3 linked regions of the Macaca fascicularis genome follow. The protein of the gene in region 1 interacts with the protein of each later gene in a pairwise test. Links are inferred from orthologs where the notes say so. Each region holds a gene or a part of one and is shown on either strand. Other genes may lie near its edges.

The links.
Region 2: the proteins of SIRPA (region 1) and CCDC57 interact in a two-hybrid assay, tested with the Homo sapiens proteins (2 studies listed by BioGRID). The two-hybrid records come from large-scale screens. The link is inferred for Macaca fascicularis from reciprocal best matches to the Homo sapiens genes SIRPA and CCDC57.
Region 3: the proteins of SIRPA (region 1) and NOL3 interact in a two-hybrid assay, tested with the Homo sapiens proteins (2 studies listed by BioGRID and IntAct). The two-hybrid records come from large-scale screens. The link is inferred for Macaca fascicularis from reciprocal best matches to the Homo sapiens genes SIRPA and NOL3.

What each region holds. Positions count from the first base shown.
Region 1 is NC_088384.1:85,388,018-85,391,791, forward strand, and holds part of SIRPA (tyrosine-protein phosphatase non-receptor type substrate 1), read right to left. Parts: intron 3,442-3,774; coding exon 3,088-3,441; intron 1-3,087. UniProt on the Homo sapiens protein: Immunoglobulin-like cell surface receptor for CD47. Acts as docking protein and induces translocation of PTPN6, PTPN11 and other binding partners from the cytosol to the plasma membrane.
Region 2 is NC_088390.1:88,640,196-88,644,638, forward strand, and holds the start of CCDC57 (coiled-coil domain-containing protein 57), read right to left. Parts: upstream 3,059-4,443; 5' UTR 3,014-3,058; intron 1-3,013. UniProt on the Homo sapiens protein: Pleiotropic regulator of centriole duplication, mitosis, and ciliogenesis. Critical interface between centrosome and microtubule-mediated cellular processes. Centriole duplication protein required for recruitment of CEP63, CEP152, and PLK4 to the centrosome.
Region 3 is NC_088394.1:63,189,918-63,194,491, reverse strand, and holds the start of NOL3 (nucleolar protein 3), read right to left. Parts: upstream 2,805-4,574; 5' UTR 2,706-2,804; coding exon 2,687-2,705; exon of another isoform or gene 2,658-2,686; intron 2,348-2,657; exon of another isoform or gene 2,132-2,347; intron 1-2,131. Other genes in the region: HSF4 (heat shock factor protein 4), read right to left, coding at 3,100-3,254, 3,539-3,608, 3,786-3,851, 3,951-4,056.

The sequences.
Region 1 (3,774 bases):
GATTTGGGGGTGTCTACTCTGCACTGGGTGATTTATACACAGGAACTCAAATCCTTTCCATTCTCCCAAAGGAGTCCCTGATTATCACCAAGGGCAGCAGGGCCAGATCCTCATCCTGGCACTCTCTCCTTTTATAACAAGTACTATGAAGGAAGAGCCATTTCTTGACCCTTTTACAGATAAGGACTCTGAGGCTCAGAGAGGATACCTGTGTGGTGAGCAAGTGGGGGAGCCAAGGTTTGATCCCCACCAGCCTGACTCACAGCCCCTGTCTCTGTAATACTCAGTTATGCTTGTCAAAGTGTGGAGAAATGCTCCACTCTTCTCATTCCGAACTCTTGCAGTTCTATAGCAATAAGCATAGGCTGAGGCAGGAGAATTGCTCGAACCAGGAGATGCAGATTACAGTGAGCCGAGATCGCGCCACTGCACTCCAGTCTGATTCTACAGATGAGGAAAACGAGGCTGAGAAAAGCAAAGGCACTGTCTCCTCATCCTCCAAGTACCCAATGGGCATTTCCAGCGTTCCCCAAGCTCTCGTGTCTATCAGTTGAGCAAGTGCCTGAACTTCATGAACCCTGACACTGACCACCACCTTCCCTTTTTCTCTTTGAGATCCTTGACTTCATGCAATTCTAGGGAGAAGCCTCCTGCCAGGGCACCCAGATCTGGTTACCCTATAGCCATAAACTGAAGTCAGTGGGCTCCTGACAGCCTGAGGGGAGAATATAAACTCTTGCTCCAGTGAGCCCCAAGAACCCACCAGGAAATGACTCATCTCCTTATCCTTAGTCCTCAGCACCATGAGTAGATGAGCATGTGGTCTGCCGGGCTGCAGGAGGCCCAACTCTGCTCCATGGATGCTGCTCAGTGATGTGCAGAGACCTGTCCTTCAGGAACAGGTTCCCATATCATGAGACATCTGCAGGACCTTTCTGATGGGGGCCAGTCCCTCCTACTCCCATAGGATTTGTTGTTTTGTTTTTTCTTTCTTTTTTTGAGACAGAATCTTGCTCTGTCATCCAGGCTGGAGTACAGTGGCACAATCTCAGCTCACTGTAATCTCCACCTCCTGGGTTCAAGCAATTCTCCTGCCTCAGCCTATGCTTATTGCTATAGAACTGCAAGAGTTCGGAATGAGAAGGGTGGAGCATTTCTCCACACTTTGACAAGCACAGCTGAGTGTTACAGAGACAGGGGCTGTGAGTCAGGCTGGTGGGGACCAAACTTTGGCTCCCCTACTTGCTCACCACACAGGTCTCCTCTCTGAGCCTCAGAGTCCCTATCTGTAAAAGGGGCAAGAAATGGCTTTTCCTTCATAGTACTTGTTATAAAAGGAGAAAGTGCCAGGATGAGGATCTGGCCCAGTTGCTGCTCCATGGCCTCCTCCCACCTCCCTCCTTTCTCATCCAGGGCATCATTTAGGCTGACAACATGGCAAAGAGGAGTGAGCACTCTACTAGGAGTCAGCAGATGTGGGTCACACCTAGGCCACTTACTTGCTGTGACTGTCTAGGCACGGGATGCATCATCTGGGAACTTCAATGTCTCTTCCTGTAATATCTGCACAATCAGGATAAAGCCATCCTCCCTGCCTATGTCCAGGGGTTGTGGGGAGACTTGATTGTTATAATGTCGAGGAGGGAAATTAGGCCATCTCCACACACATTAAAACACACACCCCCTCTGATCCAGCAATGGCACTTCCAGTGGGCGTCTCCCACCTGAGTAAGGTCACACATGTATAAGGTCATCCACTGCAGAACTGTTTTAATAGCTCAAGGTTGGGGACAACTTACGTATCCATCAATGGAAGACTGCAAAATAAATCTGACATTTCCATAAGCTGGAGTATTCTGTAGCTATTACACAATGCAGCAGGTCTCCATCCTGATATGAAATCTCATCGAACGCTAAGGCTTACATTTGGGAGAGGTTTTCCAATCACCAATGGGTGTAACGGTCTGAATGTGAGTATTCTGAACCTTTAGGAAACTGATGAAAAGGAGAAGTGCTGGCTCCCTGCTTAGCGGTTCTGTTCAAGGAGCTTTCAGTCAGCACCTGTGATGCACCAGGCTCTTCTGTGGAAACAATGTCTAACATGGGCAGGAACGAGCCTTCCCGGAATCAGATGTGGGCTCTAGTCCAGATCCTGTCACCAACTGGTCCTGTGACTGTGGGCAAGGCCCCTGTCATCTCCTGACTTCAAGTTTCCACCTGTAACTGGGGGTTGGGCTGCATGGTCTGAGGGTCCTTCCTGCACTAATGTCCCAGGATCCGGAGTTAGAACGAGGATTCTGGTGCTCTGGCAGTAAATACAAAATGAACATCTTTGCTGCCTTAACTGAGGAACCCAAAGTCACCTAGAAGGGAGACCTCCTCCCTGGGGTGAGGGACATTCTATGATGACCCAGCTTTGTTCAGAGCCTTTAGTGACTGCATGAATCAGTCCCTAAACGATACAAGGGTTTTTCTAAAAGACCCACAGAAAATGCCCAAACCTCTGGCTTCTCCTCTTCACCAGGGCATTCAGATCAAACAGTAAATCTGTGCCTTTTAGGAATCTTCTTAGTTGATGTTTGGTGATGAAATAAAGGAAAGCACACCCCCGCTGCTCCCTGCCCTGGGTGGATTCTTATTGGAAGGGATGAGAACACAAGCTTGGTGGAGCCTGGCACACAGTAGGTTCTCAGGGAGTGCCTGTCGCATAGAGGAGACTCGGCCACACTGAGGGGGAAGTGCTCTCTGGAGGCAGCAGGTGAGCTCTGGCCCTGTGCCTGGGCAAGTCACTCTGTCAGTTCCCTCATCTGTGGAACCAAAGGGCTGGGCCCGATTTGAAGAGGCCAGGGCTACAGAGCCAGGCAGATGAAGGATGCAGATGTTCCCACCCTTTACCAGCCGTGGAGCCTTGAGCAAATAGCATGACATCTCCAGGCCTCAACTTCCCTTATCTGTAAAAGGGGGAGACATTAATTCATGAAAAGGAGCACCCACCACCACACCTGATTGTTGCTCTAAGAATGGAGGGTGTTATTATTGAGTTATTGTCACACACCAGGGGACGAAGGAGGCCCGCACTGTACTCACCACGCACAGACAGCTCAGTGCCTGCTCCAGACTTCACCTCCACGTCGGGGCTCCCTTTCCGGAACTTCACACAGTAGTAGGTGCCGGCATCTGCTGGGGTGATGTTACTGATGTGGATGGAAAAGTCCATGTTGTTTCTCTTTGTGGACTCTGAAACAGATGTTACCCGGGGAAAGTGGCCTTCCTTTTGATGGTAGATCAATTCCCGGCCTGGTCCAGCTCCTCTGAACCACTGGATGGGCCCCACAGGGATCAGGGAGGTCACAGTGCAGTTCAGAGTGGCCGAGTCTCCAGCTGCGACGGACACGGACTTCTCAGGCTGAATCACCTGCAACTCCTCCTCACCCAACACTCCTGGAAAGGAGCACAAAGCCGTCATTTTTTTTTTCCATCCTTACATGATCCTCTGTGTTGCCTCAAGTGTTTATCAATGACTTTCATCGACAGGGTGCACACCAGGAGCAGGCTGTGAGGTCAGTATACTGCGTGTATTATCTCATTTAACCCTCACAACAAACCTGCAACATGAGCCTATATTCTAAGTGGGGACACTGAGGCACAGAAAGCTAAGTGACATGGCAGAGAGTGGGTTTGAATGCTTGGAACCTCTCTGGAAGAGTCACATCTGAGCTGGGCTCTCTAATTCTAATCTGAATGAGCCAGAAGGGAGCCTGGTGTTCCAGAGAG
Region 2 (4,443 bases), on another chromosome or scaffold:
CAGAAGCAATATGTCTATCTGGTACTGGGATCTTGGTTTCTAAACACCACCTTCTAAACTAAAAGGAACCAGGACTCCTTGGAGAAATGACTGATTCTGGGATATGTCAAGGCAAGCGTAAGATGAGCCTGAATTCTGTGGTGCCAGAAAGAAAGAAAATGCTCCAGAAGGTTGGGACGTGCTATGAGGACAGAGAGGCCAACTTGAAGGGGCTTCTAACACCTTAATCTGGACAATGTGAGCCACAAAGTACATGATAGCAATGGGTTAGAATCCATGGGATAAAAAGATGTACTAATACCAAGACGTCACCCCTGCACTCCAGCCTGGGTGACAAAGTGAGACTCGTACTAACACCAAGACCCCACCCCTGCACTCCACAGCCTGGGCGACAGAGTGAGACTTGTACTAACACCGAGACCTCACCCCTGCACACCAGCCTGGATGGCAGAGTGAGACGCCATCTCAAAAAAAAAAAAAAAGATATAGTAATGAAAATTAATAGAAAATTGATGAGAAGAGATGGTTCTTTCTTACAGGAGAATCCCAACTAATAAATGTAGGAGTAACGGAAACAGAAAAATCATTTAACAAATAGCACATTAATAGTTATTTTGGGGAAACACTCATGGGTGCTAAAATTAGTGACAGAAGTATATGGTTAGAAACAAGATCTTGCTGGGCGTTGTGGCTCAGGCCTGTAATCCCAACACTTTGGGAGGCCGAGGCAGGCGGATCACTTGGGGTCAGCAGTTCAAGACCAGCCTGACCAACATGGTGAAACCCCGTCTCTACTAAAAATACAAAAAAAATAAAAATAAAAATAAAAATTAGCTGGGCATGGTGGCAGGTGCTGGTAATCCCAGCTGCTCAGGAGGCTGAGGCAGTAGAATCGCTTGAACCCGGGAGACAGAGGTTGCAGTGAGCCAAGATCAAGCCACTGCACTCCAGCTTGGGTGAGAGAAAGAGACTCAAGTCTCAAAAAAAAAAAAAAAAAAAAAAAGGCTGGACGTGGCGGCTCACACCTGTAATCCCAGCACTTTGGGAGGCCAAGGTGGTGGATCACCTGAGGTCAGAAGTTTGAGACTGGCCTGGCCAACATGGTGAAACCTCGTCTCTACTAAAAATACACAGATTAGCTGGGAGTGGTCGTGGGCAGCTGTAATCCCAGCTACTTGGGAGGCTGAGGCAAGAGAATCACTTCAACCCAGGAGGTGGAGGTTGCAGTGGGCAAAGATTGTGCCACCAAACTCCAGCCTGGGCAGTGAAGAGAGACTCCATCTTAAAAAAAAAAAAAAAGAAAAGAAAAAGAAAAAAGAAAGAAGATTTTTTACATAGTGGCAAAATATTTCCCCATAAAATATGCATTATTTACAAAGGGAAGGACCCCAACTTTGTGGACACACTTGGCAGGCACCACCTCAGCCCCCGGGCCCCGATGAGCACCAACAGCCAGGGGCATCCTGTGGCTCATAAGACACTGGGAAGGACACAATTTCCCTGTTGAAGTTTTCTGGCCAAAAATGAGTAATATGAAATCAATTACGAGAAAACATCAGAGAAATCCAAAATGGGGGGCATTTTATAAAATAGTGGACTTATCACTGGATCCTGGACCACGGTACAGTCATCCTTGAAGCAGCTGCTAAACGAGAATAAATACTGGAGACCAGATCACGGGATTATATTAACATGAACGCCAGCGTCTCCATGTTGCTGAATGAACTGTGGTTCTGTAAGAGATCAGCATTCTAGGGGCTGTGGGTAAAGAGTACACGGGAAATCTTTGTGCTGCTTTTGTATCTTTTTCTAAGTTACAGATAATTTTTTTTTTTTTTTTTTGAGATGGAGTTTCACTCTTGTCTCCCAGACTGGAGTGCAACGGCGCGATCTCGGATCACCGCAACCTCTGCCTCGCGGTGTAATACCCTACCTTGTTTTAACCTGATTGATTCTCTCTTAGCTGAGAGCTGGACAGACTCCATGTTGGTTTCTTTGCTTGCAGCCTCTTATTCCCCTCCCTTAAGGACATACCTGGTGCAAGCCGACCCCAAGCACATCCAGGAATGCACTTACTGATAAGAAACTGGAGCAAGCTGTACCAGCAGCTCCTGGGAACGCGCTCTGTTGATGGTACCCAAAGCCCCTGCGTTTATCACTTTGTGGTAATTGAAGCCCCTGCACCTGAAACTGTTTTTTGTTTTTTCCTGTAACTGTTTCTGTAACCATTTCTAACTTTTTTGCCTGTTCTGCTTCTGTAAAAAAAAAAAAAAAAAAAAAAAAATAGCTTCAGCTAGACTCCCCGTCCCCTATTTAGACCAAGGTTTAAAAAGAAATCTAGCCCCTTCTTCGGGCGGAGATAATTTCGAGCTCTAGCCGTCTCTCGGTCGCCGCCGGCAATAAAGAACGCCTGAATTAGTCTCAGAGTGTGGCGTTCTCTCTATAACTCGCTCGGTTACAACATCGGGTTCAAGCGATTCTCCTGCTTCAGCCTCCCGAGTAGCTGGGACAACAGGCGCCCACCACCACGCCCAGTAATTTTTGCATTTTTAGTAGAGACGGGGTTTCACCATGTTGGCCAGGCGGGTCTCGAACTCCTGGCCTCAAGCGATCTACCCGCCTCGGCCTCCCAAAGTGCTGGGATTACAGGCGTGAGCCACCGCGCCCGGCCTTTCTTTTCTTTTTCTTTTTTTTAAACTCAGACACAGCAAGGCTGCCTGGGCGCGGAGCCGTCCTTGGCGGCGGCGGAACCCGGAGAACTCTCCCGGGGTTGCGGGGCCCTGGTCGGCAGCGCCCACCGCCCCAGGTCATCCAAGGGCGACCGAGGAAACACTCCCGCCCCGCCCCGCCGCAGCCTCCGCGAGCGGGTCCCCGGTCCGGGCCCGGCCGGGCTCTGAGGGTCGACCTCGCGCTCCAGGTCCTCGTCTGACAGGACGGCAAGTCCCGAGGTTTTCCACAGGAAGAGGGGTCGGAGCGGCTCCCACGCCGCCCACGCCGCCCGCCCGCGCCTCACCTGAACGGCCGCCAGCAGCGCTGCCGGGTCCCCCCGCGTTGCCACAGCGACCGGGTCAGTCGGCCGCGTCCGGCTGCGCTCGGTGCAGCGCTCGGGTCCCGCCGGCAGGAAACGGGGTCCCTGGCGCTGGGTTCCGGCCGCTCCCGCCGCGCCGGGTTCCGCGCTGCGCCCAGGCCCGAGAGACGCCCCGGGCCGAGCCGACCGCCGCCGCGGATCGAGGGAGGGAGCCCGGCCTCCTCACCGGTCAGCGGGGCGACTCCGGACTGGGTTCCGGGCTATGGGGACGGCGGGCTCCGCCGCGCGAGGCGCCCCCACCCTCGCCGCCCCCGGCCCTGCCGAGGGTCCCCAGGCGCCCGCTCCCTGAGGCCGCCCGGCTCGCGGTCCCGAAGGGGTGTCTTGAGCGTTTGCCCTGAGATGAGGGGAGCGCGGGGGCGGGGGCGGCCGAGGCTGCCCGTGGGAGTCTGTACGGGCCGGGGCGCCACCGAGTCCTGCCTGAGGGTCGGCTGCGGCCACCGGGGCACGAGTTCCCGGCGCCGCCCACGGGCTCGGAGACTGGCGGGGCCCGGGCCGTGCGCGCAGCCGCTCAGATCCTGGTTAGGGAACTGGGGGAAAGGACGGGGCCCGGAGGCGCCCCCACCATCCTGTGGGAACAACATCCTCAGGGCCAGCCATTCCCCACCATTCACATCCTCCGAAAATGGCACCTGTTCTTATCCATCTGCGGATCAATGAACGGAGCCCGGCCCCGGGACAGAGCAGCCTGGTCCACCCGAACCCTCAGCCCGCACTTCTGCGTGGGAGTGGAGGGGGTGTCTGGTGTCTGGGAATTCCCCTGGTGGGGCAATAAACCAGGGGTCTGGTGTCATCCCCCACCCACATTGTTACACTGGGTCACTCCAATCCCTGCCGTGCCTGCAGCCCAGACACCCTACAGCCCGTCCTCCTGGACCCACGCGTCCCGGTGGGGCTGCCCCTCACCCACTGCCCTCAGTCCCGTCTCACACACCAAACCCTCTTCTGCCTCGGGGCCTTTGCACCAGTTGCCTCTGCCTAGACCTGGTTCCCTGGATGCTCCCTCCCCACCCCACGTGTGTGTCCGGCTCCCTGGATCCACCCCCCACCCTGTGTGTCTAGCCCCCTGGACCCACCCCACATGCTGTGTATCTAGCCCCCTGGAATCCCCTCCCCACTCCCTGTGTCTAGGTCCCTGGACCCCCACCTGCCCCATGTGTCCAACTCCCATGACTCCCCCCACCGTGTATCCGGCTCCCTGGGTTCCCCTGCCACCCCATATGTTTGGCTCCTTGTCCTCCTGCTGCCTTCTCAGTGCCTGTACACCCCCAGCCTCTTCAGACTTGTCACTCTATTAGAACAGGATGTAGGGCCTGGACCGTTGGCTCCCTGCTACCCCCACCCACAGGGCAGTGCTG
Region 3 (4,574 bases), on another chromosome or scaffold:
GACACGGGGTTTCACTATGTTGGCCAGGCTGGTCTCAAACTCCTGACTTCGTGATCCACCTGCCTCGGGTTCCCAAAGTGCTGGGATTACAGGCGTGAGCCACCTGCCGGGCCTGGTCTTGCTATATTGACCAGGCTGGTCTCGAACTGCTGGCCTTGAGCGATCCTCCCATCTCAGCCTCCCAAAGTGCTGGGATTACTCTTGAGAGACTATCTCTACCAACAGCAGCTATTAGGGAGAATTAATTTGCTTTATCCTTTTTTTTTTTTTTTTTTTTTGAGACAGAGTCTCACTCTGTTGCCCAGGCTGGAGTGCAGTGGCACATTCTCTCCTCACTGCAACCTCCGCCTCTTGGGTTCAAGTGATTCTCCTACCTCAACCTCCCAAGTAGCTGAGACTACAGGCGCCTGCCACCACGCTCAGCTAATTTTTTGTGTTTTTAGTAGAGATGGTGTTGGTGTTTCACAATGTTGGCTAGGCTGGTCTCGAACACCTGACCTTGTGATCCACCCACTTTGGCCTGCCAAAGTGTTGGGATTACAGACATGAGCCACCGCACTCAGTTGCTTTGTCCATTTATTGCCAACCAAGGATTATGGCCCATTCCTATGAGTGACTTTACCCAGCCAGCAAGACCCCCGGCATTAGGAGGCAAAGACATCAGGTCTTGGACCATGCCCTCAGCCCACCCCCACCCCGATAAAACCTCCCTTCCTCCCTGCCTTGGCTTTGTTCACAAGGCATCCTCCCATCTCTTCTTCCTTTTGCTGTCCCTCCTCCGCCTCCTTCCCTGGCTCTAGGAGGCTGGACCTTCTCTGGGAGAGAGGATTTGGTCCTAGCTGCCATCCTGCCTCCCAGGTCTCTCTCAGTACCCTCTGGTGTCATGCTATACCTCCCCCGTCACACCCTGGCTCCCTCCCATTGAAGCCCTTCCCCCGGGCCACCAAGCTGAGACCAGGACTACCCCCTGCCCTTCCATCTCCCTTTATGTCCCATCTGTGATGAGTATTGCTTCCCTTCTCAGTGAGTCTCCATCAGCTCCTGCCTTGCCACCCCACCATCGTCACCTCATGTCCTGTAACAGTTCCTCTGAGCCCCTCTCACTCCCATTCCACTAGGCCCTATAGCACAGTGATTTTGACAACTCTCTGGGCTAGGATTGCTGTTCCTGTTTTACAGATGAGGAAAGAGACAGGCTCAGAGATTCAGTGGTAAAACTGGAATCTTACTTGCTCCAGCCTGAACTATGAGGAACTTAACTATATTTTCCTGTCTAGCAGAATTCCATCCTAAATACCTATCTACCTCCCCCCGCCAACCCCACTGCCCATCTGAGAGAACCAAAAGTATCTGGTCTGGCTACTCTAGCCTCCTCCCACCACTCTGGACAGCCAGGCCCTTCCCAGCTTCCCTCCACGAGTCAGGGCTGGGAGAACTCACTATGCCTCTGGCACCTCGGAGCCTTTGCTGATGCTGATCGCTAAGACTGGAATCCTTTCCCCCTCCCTCCTCTTCATGAACCTATCCATCCTCCGGGACTCAAATGTTCCCTTGTCTACACCAATGTCTAAGTGTCCCAAGGGCAGGTGGTTCCTTCTTCTGTGTACCCAGTGAACAACATATGTCCTCACCACCGCATTAACTGACATCACTGCACTGTGTACGTGCAGATTATCTGCTTTCTTCAACTGAGGCTTCCTAAGAGTGTCCCTCCAATTGGTGGGCATAGGAAGGGAGAGGGGGACAGCACCTACTTGGGACAGACACAGGGAGGGTGCAGATTGGATTGCCCCCTCCTTCTCTCCAGCCTACGTTGTTTTCATGTTAGCCTCCTCCTCCTATGACCCCAAGTCCTGCCCTTTATCCTGTCTAGGGGTAGTGACTCCAGCTGGTCTGGGCCCTCCCTTTGAGGCTCTCAGAGCTCTCAATACCGAAGTTATTTAGCGGCCAGTCCTTCGAGGGTGACAGGTCCGATGCTTCCCAGAGAGCCACGTGGCGGGGTGTGGAGCTGGGCCCTAGCCCCCAACCCCAACTAGCAGCGCGGGCTCTTTGGCGGGGAAGCCAGGGTCTTGGGTCACTGAAGAGCCTTTGCGCATGTGCGGCCGCACGGATTCCCCGCCCCACGCCTTACCTCCCAGAGCTCACCCAGTCCCAGAGCTTGAGAGTCCTGCGGCAGGGCGGGGTCCACAGACCTCACCCCGAGGGCCGCAGCGGGTGACGGGGCGCTGATTTTGCCCAATCTCGGTTTCCCGTCCCTCCCACAGCCGGGAGTGGGGCTCCAGGTCTGGCCCGTTTTGGGCGGCCCCACTCACGGGTCGAGCCTCGGCGGGGCAGGAGATGACGGTGCAGAAAGGCCCGGGCAGGGTGGGGGTGGGTGCAGCAGCTGCGGCGGGGGCGGGGCGGCCAGGGCTGCTGGGAATAGGGAGGGTGAGGGCTTCTTCCCCGGGCACTGGGAGCCACGCCGCGGAAGCCGCGCGCGGGCTGGGGACGTGCACGTAGTCAGCTTTCCCTTCCCACCCGGGGCGCACCAGGAGATGAGGCCGGGAGGGGGCAGTTCGGCCCGCGGCCCCACACGTCCAGTGCCCACTCAGGGCCTGCCAATTTCCAGGTGCTTTCCATCTATCTTGTCATCGACCCCTCTTCTCTGCCTGTCACAGACGAAGTTCACAGAAGGGTACCAACTCACCCAGGATCACAGAACGCATGCATTGCAGAGCTGAGTGCGACTCAGAAGCCCCCGCTTCCCAGAGATTGCAGCGGCGCCGCGCCAGCCCTGGATCCGGGCCTAAGCAAGGGAGCTAGACACCGGATCCCCAAGCACCTCCACCCTCCTGGGGTTCCTCTATTAAAGACCTAGTATCTGGACGCTTCTACAGTGCAAAATCACCCCCCACCCACAACTCCTGTGCTGCCTGGTCGATAGAGAAAAGAGACGCGAAACAGAAAAAAAAATGGAGTTTATGTGCAGGGTTCGTCGGGGTAGTGGAGAGAGGCCGTTGAATAGTAGGGGCTTCGCTCACTCCCGCCAGGGGGCGCCAGGAAGCCAAGAAGGATGTGCAGCCGCGGACTGGTTCCAAGCCCCTTCAGAGGCGCGGGGTCTCAGGGGGAGGGACTGGCTTCAGAGCCCAAGTAGGAGGCGGTCCGGCTCTCAGGAGTGCTGTAAATGGTTAAAGCCCCAGGCAGGCCCAGGGCTGGGCCTCCCAAGGCTGCCTGGACATCCAGCAGGAGTGGGGCCCCGAGCGTGGGGTCCTTCCCTAGGAGAAGCGGGGCTGTGCTCACCAGGGGAAAGGTTCCCCCTCCTTTCTTCAGGGAAGGAGAGCCCTCCCTGCCTGCCTTCTGCTCAGTTAGGATGAAGCATCCATTCTTAAACTCCCCACTCTCGCCCAATGGTGAGGGCACGGGTGGCTCAATGAACGCGCTCTGCAGGGCAGCCTGAACTCAGGATTTCCCTGCAAATTGCAGATTGCCCCCTCACTCAATCAAGGTAGCTCAGCCCAATCACGGCGTCCTCCCAGGTATGAGTCATCACAACCATTACCTGGGCTTGGAGAATTTAACCCCTTGACCGCCAGCTCAGGCTCACCCGGCTCTGGAACCAAGGGCTGCATCTGTGTGAGAACCGCAGGGAGCAGCTGGGGAGGGGACCTAGCAGCTGAGGGGAACAGCTGGGAAATCACTGCGGCAATTCTCCTAGAGACATGGCTCTGGCTCACAGAGAACAGCTATGGACCAGAGGGCTTGGCTCAGCCACCCCTGGCCTCTGCCCTCCCGGATCCACTTCTTACCAAGGACAGCTCCATGTCCAAGTCCATCAGGGTCCATTCTCGCCCTTGGAGACTGGGGCCCAGCACCTGAGGAGAGCTCTGGGTCAGTGGTGCCCTCTCCAGGCTCCACAGAGAGCTAGACCCCACCAGGTCTCATGCCCCTGTTTCAGCAGAAGGGGTACTCACATCTAGAGGCCCTGCAGACTCCACACTTTCTTGAGGGGGCTGAAGCAGCATCGGAGGCAGCAGACTCTCTGGGCTCCTGTCCCCGCTCTCCAGGCCCAGAGGCCCCCTGTGCAGAGAGAACTGCTTTTGAGAGAACTGCTTTTGGCCTGCAGTGTACGCCCTCCATTAAGTTCCCAAGGAACCCAGATGCATCAAGATTTAAATCCCCCAACATTTAGAAAATGATACGAGAGGACCCCCATCCTTTTTCTACCCCCAACCTCCCCACCCCTGCCATAAAGGGGCACAGAGAAAGTGCCTCTGCTTCCTACCTGGGACCTGGAGTTTGGGTGGTGGAGCTGGGGCTTTGGGACCCCTCCCCTCCCTATGTAAATGTCAATATCAATGCTTCTTTCTTTTCTTTTCTTTTCTCTCTGTCTCGCTCTTTCTTCTTTCTTTCCTTCTTTCTCTTTCTTTTCCTTTTTTTCTTTTTTTTTGAGACAGAGTTTGACTATGTCACACAGGCTGGAGTGCAGTGGCACCATCTGGGCTCACTGCAGCCTTCACCTCCCAAGTTCAAGTGACTCTCCTGCCTCAGCCTCCTGAGTAGCTGGGACTACAGGCAAATGCCACTACACCCAGCTA